Linked DNA regions of Callithrix jacchus. The protein of the gene in region 1 binds, or shares a complex with, the protein of each later gene. Links are inferred from orthologs where the notes say so. Each region holds a gene or a part of one and is shown on either strand. Other genes may lie near its edges. The genes, in order: NME5 and DYDC1.

What was found.
Region 2: NME5 (region 1) and DYDC1 share a complex: the UniProt entries of both Homo sapiens proteins name them as parts of the axonemal radial spoke complex. The link is inferred for Callithrix jacchus from reciprocal best matches to the Homo sapiens genes NME5 and DYDC1.

What each region holds. Positions count from the first base shown.
Region 1 is NC_133503.1:36,544,696-36,549,057, reverse strand, and holds the start of NME5 (nucleoside diphosphate kinase homolog 5), read left to right. Parts: upstream 1-1,268; 5' UTR 1,269-1,312; intron 1,313-1,536; exon of another isoform or gene 1,537-1,586; intron 1,587-1,752; exon of another isoform or gene 1,753-1,816; 5' UTR 1,817-1,862; coding exon 1,863-1,991; intron 1,992-4,362. Other genes in the region: BRD8 (bromodomain-containing protein 8), read left to right, coding at 542-634. UniProt on the Homo sapiens protein: Functions as part of axonemal radial spoke complexes that play an important part in the motility of sperm and cilia. Does not seem to have nucleoside diphosphate kinase (NDPK) activity.
Region 2 is NC_133513.1:50,212,900-50,215,818, forward strand, and holds part of DYDC1 (DPY30 domain-containing protein 1), read left to right. Parts: intron 1-1,955; coding exon 1,956-2,012; intron 2,013-2,506; coding exon 2,507-2,611; intron 2,612-2,919. UniProt on the Homo sapiens protein: Functions as part of axonemal radial spoke complexes that play an important part in the motility of sperm and cilia. Plays a crucial role during acrosome biogenesis.

The DNA.
Region 1 (4,362 bases):
TGGTCTTGAACTCCTAACCTGGTGATCTGCTCGCCTCGGCCTCCCAAAGTGCTGGGATTACAGATGTGGGCCACTGTGCCCGGCCTCTCAGAGTTTATTTTTAAAGGTGATTAAGGCCCTGAAGGATTGATAATCTGCCTGCTGGTTTGGAAAACCCTGAGCCTCAGTAAGTCCAGCTTTGATAGTGAAGTAGTCTAGGAATGCAGGCAGCAGTGAAGAGCTCTCAAGACAGCTGAGGACAGATAAGTAATGGGAATTCCTGCTTCCAGAGCCTTAAGTCAATGGGCTAAACTCCAAAGAGGCCAGAGTCACTGTGTAGTTTTTGGTTGCTTTATCTGTTGATATTAATATATGCTCACACTTTCCCATCTCTAGGGAGTAAGATACAGTAGCTAGAATACATTTGTGGGTTTCTTTTCTAGGTAGCATCATACTTTAAAGAAAAAAAGTATAGTTGAGTCTATTTGCCAAAGAAATAAACTTGCAATCCTTTAGCATGTAAGTTTCATAATAGCTTGCTATGTGTTCCTTAACCCTTTAGGTGCTGAATGTTTGGTTAGACAAAAGACAAGGCTCAAGTAGTCTGGAAGGAGAACCAGCCAACCCAGTGGATGATGGAAAACCTATTTTGTAACGTGGAGCTTCTAGCCTGACTTTTCTAGAGTTTGAAACCTCTCCCTGAACTCTGACCTAGAGAGGATCCCAGTACTTCTTTGCCATGTCTCTGTTGTCTTTTCCAATAAGAATATCCCTACCTCACTCAATGATACATGTGGACATAATATAAGGAAAAACAGGGGAAGCTGAGATTTGGGTTTAATGCCATAAATGTTGCATACATCTTTGTTCCACGGGCTTGATTTAAAGACAATTAGATTAGATCTTTTACTAAGCCTTTTACTCTAATAAATAAATGTCTTTTCACAAACAGAATATTGCTTTTTAATGACTAGGTAAGCTTGGCATAGAGGGGACAGCATCATCCGGTCAAATGAAGGTATCTGACACGGGTCTTACATACACTGCCTGGAAAGGAATCTGGGAGGTGGGGTGGTCTTATCATTTATAAAGTAGGGATAATTGAAGAACAGGATGAAATAACATAAGTTGTGAGTAAAATGTCAGAAAATATCTAGTGCCCTAAGATTCACAAGGAGAATAAAGATGACTACCTGGCTCGCTTTGGTTAAAACAACTTGCCAGAGGCTGCAAGGAGGTTCCTTGCTGGGATTGGCCCTCTGCAGCCACCGTCCCCACGCTGGGGCTTCAGGTCTCCTAGCAACAAATTGAACTCACCAGGGCGGCCGCTGAGGTGAGTGCTCAGAGAGGGTCAAATTCAGAATTTTCAGGTGCAACCCGGAAAGTCCCAGAGGACCCAGAGGCCCTGCTTTCCAATTAGGCCTGACCCTATGCACAGAGAGGTCCCTGCGGGACAGGGTTGCTTCACAGAGGCAGCCGGAAGAGGCCGCTCACCCGCCGCTGTATTGGCGTGTGATGTTGCCACCAGCCCGCCGCCCCCTTCGAGCCCCCTCCCACCTTCTGCTGCCTGGGAATGCCGCTGGTTCCGGGGCTTCGGGTCGACCCTTGGCCTCTGGTCATGTGAGCCCAGTAGTCCTTCCCGCCTCGGTGACAGCGTGTACGAAAAGCCGGGGCTCGATATGGACATAGTAGAAATCCTATTATTGAGACCCTGCATATAGAAAAACACGGCAGTTTTTTAACCTGCGTTAGTTAATAAAATCAAGTACCTAATATTGCTATTCTTAATCACAATTACATTGAATTTGGGATTGGGAGGGAAATTATGTCATTGCAGTTGACACCTGTTAAGAAACTCTCAATTTGTGTCCTGAAAAGCCATAATGGAGATATCAATGCCTCCACCTCAGATATATGTAGAAAAAACTCTGGCCGTTATCAAACCAGATATTGTTGACAAAGAGGAGGAGATACGAGATATTATTCTCAGATCTGGATTCACCATTGTTCAGGTAACTTCTGGGCATGATGATTCATGCTTTTTTCCTCTCTGCCCTTTAAAAAAAAATGCTTATGTAAATGTACCTACCCATTTAAACCGTTAATGTTCAGCATTACCTTTAAGTTTATTCTTTTAAGTATAAAAGTTTTATGTGATAGTTTTTAAAAGGATATAAAATGAGAAATAAAATTAACTTTTCCCTCACCTGTCCTCTCCCATTTCAAGTCCCAGGCTCCAGAGAGAGGCAACGCTTAACACTTTCTGTTCTTCCAGGAGTTTTCTATGCATTTATAAACGTTTTCCCCCCATAAAACAGAGCAGCCCTTTTCCCTTGACCCCCTTTACAGAGTCCCTCAGATAGGATTCCAAATCATTACATCTGAATTGATCTCACTCTTCCTAACTTCTGTGTAATATTTCCTTGTGTATTAGAACTACAGTTTATTTACTTGATCCTCTATTGATGGACTTTTAGACTATTAGTATTTTTTCAGTTACAACAAACATTTAATGTTTTAAGCCTTATATTTGTTCTGCAATTAGTAAATATTGTCATTCTAGGGATTTGAAAATGAATATAAATAGCATTGTTAAGGATTATCAAATAAAATTGAATATTTTTAATCTTCTTTTATAGTATTCTAATTTGAATTTCCAATTTTTTATTTTTTCACATTTATGCAGTGTCATATTGCTTATTTAGTTAGTTTTTTTTTGAGACAGAATCTCACTCTGTCACCCAGGCTGGAGTACGGTGGCCTGATCTCGGCTCACTGCAACCTCCACCTCCCGGGTTTTAGCGATTCTCCTGCCTCAGCCTCCTGAGTAGCTAGAATTACAGGCTTGTGCCACCATACCCGGCTGATTTTTGTATTTTTAGTAGACAAAATACTACTTTTGTATTTTGGGGTTTCACAATCTTGGTCAGGATGATATCAAACTCCTGACCTTGTGATCCACCGGCCTCAGCCTCCCAAAGTGCTGGGATTAGAGGCGTGAGCTACCTTGCCCAGCCTTTAGTCAGTATTTTTAAAAATAAAGAGAAAACGGCCAAGCACAGTTGCTCATGCCTATAGTCCCAGCACTTTAGGTGGCAGAGGTGGATGGATCATAAGATCAGGAGTTTAAGACTAGACCAGCCAATATGGTGAAATGCCATCTCTGCTAAAAATACAAAAATTATCTGGGCGTGGTGGCATGTGTCTATAGTCCCAGCTACTCTGGAAGCTGAGGCAAGAGAATCGCTTGAACCCAGGAAGTGGAGGTTGCAGTGAGCTGAGATGGTACCACTGCACCCCAGCCTGGGCAACAGAGGGAGACTCGGTCTCAAAAATAATAATAATAATAGGCCAGGCGCCATGGCTCACACCTGTAATCCCAACACTTTGGGAGGTCGAGGTGGGTGGATCACAAGGTCAAGAGATCTAGACCATCCTGGTCAACATTGTGAAACCCCGTCTCTACTAAAAAACACAAAAAAATTAGCTGGGCCTGGTGGCACGTGCCTGTAATCCCAGCTACTCAGGAGGCTGAGGCAGAAGAATTGCTTAAACCCAGGAGGCAGAGGTTGCCATGAGCCGAGATTGCGCCATTCCACTCCAGCCTGGGTAACAAGAGCGAAACTCCATCTCAAAAATAATAATAATAATAATAATAATAAATGAAATGAATAGAAAATATCAGTATTCAGAAAAGATATGGGATTTCAGTTGAGCTTCAAAGGGCAGGTGGAGGCTGAGGGAAGGGATGGTACGAGAAAGTGTTAGGAAATATTTAATGTAATTAAAGACTCAGGTAAAGAACTTTATAGCAAACGTTAGGAAAACTGGTAGCCACTGAAAAAGTTGGATCAAGTATTGTATACAAGGAAAGACTCCAAATGGACCTGAGATCTAGAAGCCATGAAAGAAAAGACTAGTAAGATTATATAAACAAAAAATTTCTTTACAGCAAAATAAATACCATAAGCAAAGTCAAATCATAACAAACTTTGAAAAAAGATTTGCAACTCATATCAGACAAAGGGCTAGTCCTCCTAATATATAAAGAGCTCCTAGAAAAAGATAAAAATAAATCAGTAGAAAAATGGGCAGAAGAGATGGATGGTCACAGAAAGAGAAAAACATTTTTTAAATATATGGAAAGATTCTCAATTTCTAGGTGGGAAAAAAAAACTACACTGAGATTCCATTTGGCAAAAATATAAAAGTAAATGGCACAATCCCTATCGAAGGGAATCTGGCAGTTATCTACCACTATAACAGATGGACTTACCATTTGATCAGCATTCTGCTCCTGAAAATCTGTCCTATAGAATTCCTTCTGCTCTTACTACCTGTCATGCACAGAGCCCTGTTTAGTCCTGTCAGTAAGTTCCTGTA
Region 2 (2,919 bases), on another chromosome or scaffold:
TTTAAGGTGATGGATATCTCAATTACCCTGATTTGATCATTACACATTGTTTGCTTGTATCAAAATATCATATATACATCATAAACATATACAACTGTTATATACTGCTAAAAATTTTAAGAATTTTTGAAAAAGATTCACAGATCTAAACTGAAAGAGAAAATGCAGTAACATATCAAGAAGACAGTGATCAAAATAAAGGAATTTAAAGTATTTTTTAATCAAAGTAACCTGATAGCTACATTAAGGTGCTTGAAAGTCTATAGTAAGGATTGGTCTCTGTTTCGTGGCTCCAGAGGGCCACACTCATGTTATTTTACTATCTCCAGGCATTGTCAGCTTGCGTGACCAGAGCCACAATAACTTTAATAATTCATATTCCTACTGGCTTATCATCTCTCACCATAGTATAGGTACTCCCCTGCAAAGTACTGTTCCCTTGCCCATTGCTCAGAAATGAATCCATTCATGTCTTTCCCCTGGCCTTATGGCTGCAGACTCGCAATGTAAACTGTCATGTGCACAGGGAAATTTGCTGGAAGGATTCTTGGTTTAAGGGTTTAGCACCTAAACTGTGAAGGACTCTGATGTCACTGGGCCTTTCAGACTTAGGGAGCAAGAGAATCAGATGCTACCAGGGCTCTCACTTCTGCTATTCCCTGGTTAGTTTCATTCTTTCTCTATGGGCTGCTGTGCTGCACATGGGTGGGGAATATGGCCCTTAATGGCTTCTGAGTCTTAGAATGTTGTGGCTTCTAACCATCTAAGAGGAATGGATTCCTTCTTTTAGTTTCAATTAAGAAAAGAATCTTGGAGAAGGATTCTGACTGGCTTAATTTGTGTCAGATATCCATCCCTGTGGCAGGGGAACATGGTCCTATAAGAATATGAATGTCCCTAGTATAGCCTTGTGGATGCTGGATAAGAAGTTACCAGGAAAGGGCCGGCCGTGGTGGCTCAAGCCTGTAATCCCAGCACTTTGGGAGGCCATGGCGGGTGGATCATGAGGTCAAGAGATCGAGACCATCCTGGTCAACATGGTGAAACCCTGTCTCTACTAAAAATACAAAAAATTAGCTGGGCATGGTGGCGTGTGCCTGTAATCCCAGCTACTCAGGAGGCTGAGGCAGGAGAATTGCCTGAACCCAGGAGGCGGAGGTTGCAGTGAGCCGAGATCGCACCATTGCACTCCAGCCTGGGTAACTAGAGTGAAACTCTGTCTCAAAAAAAAAAAAAAAAAAAAAGAAGTTACCAGGAAAATGGAGTGATCTTGGGAAAATAGTGCCATTTATGTCCCTATCATTAGGGTAACCATAAAGAAATCACTCATCTTCTAGCAGCCAAAATGAATCAACTCAGGGGCAGTTAGGCCACCCTGCTGCTTGAGAATGAAAAGATGGGTGCCATAGCAAGGTTTGGCAGGCTAGAAGAATGTTTTCACATTCAGAAAGAGGCCTCCCATGTTGGGCAGTACATTCCCACTGCAGTGCTGTTTATTAAAGAGGGCATTACTTAACTGCTGTGGGAGGACTTGTGCATTGGGCCAGATAATTCCTTTAGAATGTTTACTTCTTTCTCATTGTGTGCAAAACTCTACTTAAGTTAATTTCTCTTTAAGATCTCTTGTTCTAAGATTTTATTAGTATTTTTATTTTGTCACTTTCCATATTGGTAGATAATTTGACTTCAGTTTGAATGTTTCAGTCCATTTCATTTTCTAAAAAGTTTTATTTAATTATGTATAAAACATAGTGGCCTTCTGTTGGTATAGAGTATTTAATAAGATCGTGATCTGCAGTTTTGTAATGCGTAATCAGATCAGTCTCTTTCAGAGTGACAGCGTTTTTGCTTTAAATTGATTAAAAACATTGTGTAAAAATAAAAATGCCAAAAATTAAACATGAAATCAAAATTAAGTATATTCAAAGTATTTTCATAATTTTTATATATTATAGGAGATGAGAATGAATATAGAAAATTTAGTTAGGAGTGAAGATACTCTACGTTCGGAGGTGAGAAGAAAAAGTCACTCTATGTTATGTGAATTGAATTGAGTATCCTAGAATGTAAAGCTTAATTTCGATGTACAAGTAGCTAAATTTTTAGCAAGTGTATAAAACTGAGAGGCCATATATATTTTCCAGTAATAGCAAGTCACAAATAATGTGCTTTGAAGCAAAATGTCACTGTGGGTAAAAATTGGACATTCAGTTTGTGTTTGCAGTTTAAAAACTATCTGTTTTTAAAAACTATCTATCCTGAGATATTGAAACTACTGACCACATAATTACTTATAATTATTTTAAATTTCTGCCGGTATTTTTAAAATAAGTTTTATCAGTTATTACCAAAATTCTCTTGCCATTAACAGAAATTGGTTAATTCCATTAATTAATAATGTTGAATTTTGATGTTATAATCAGAAGTTTTAAAATCATAATTGAAAGAAAAGTAATGTATTAATTTTGAAATCATTTAAATGTAAACATGAATTTTATGATTGTAGGAAGCAACACTAGACTCAGGCAAAACACTAGCTGAAACCAGTGGTCGTTTTGGAGCACCTAACTTGAGCAGAGTGGAAGAACTTGATGAGCCAATGTTTTCTGATGTCAGTATCAGCCTGCTTTTCAAAAACTCTTTTTCGTTTTTTTGTTTTTTCACTTAGGTAATAAAGCCTAGGGAAAACAAGGCTAGGCTAGGATTGGTTGGCAAATGGTCCTTTTGCTTCAGAGAAAGAAAACCAGTTCCCTGGTGGCCAATTACATTCCTAATTGGCATTCTGCCCTTTTGTGAAGTGTGTCACTGGTCTATCTATATCTCTCTATTTGTAGCTGTGACCTCAAAACCTCTTCAAAATATTTTTTAAAATTATTTTGTGAAATACATAATCTTTAAACTTGGTGTGGGGGGCACCAT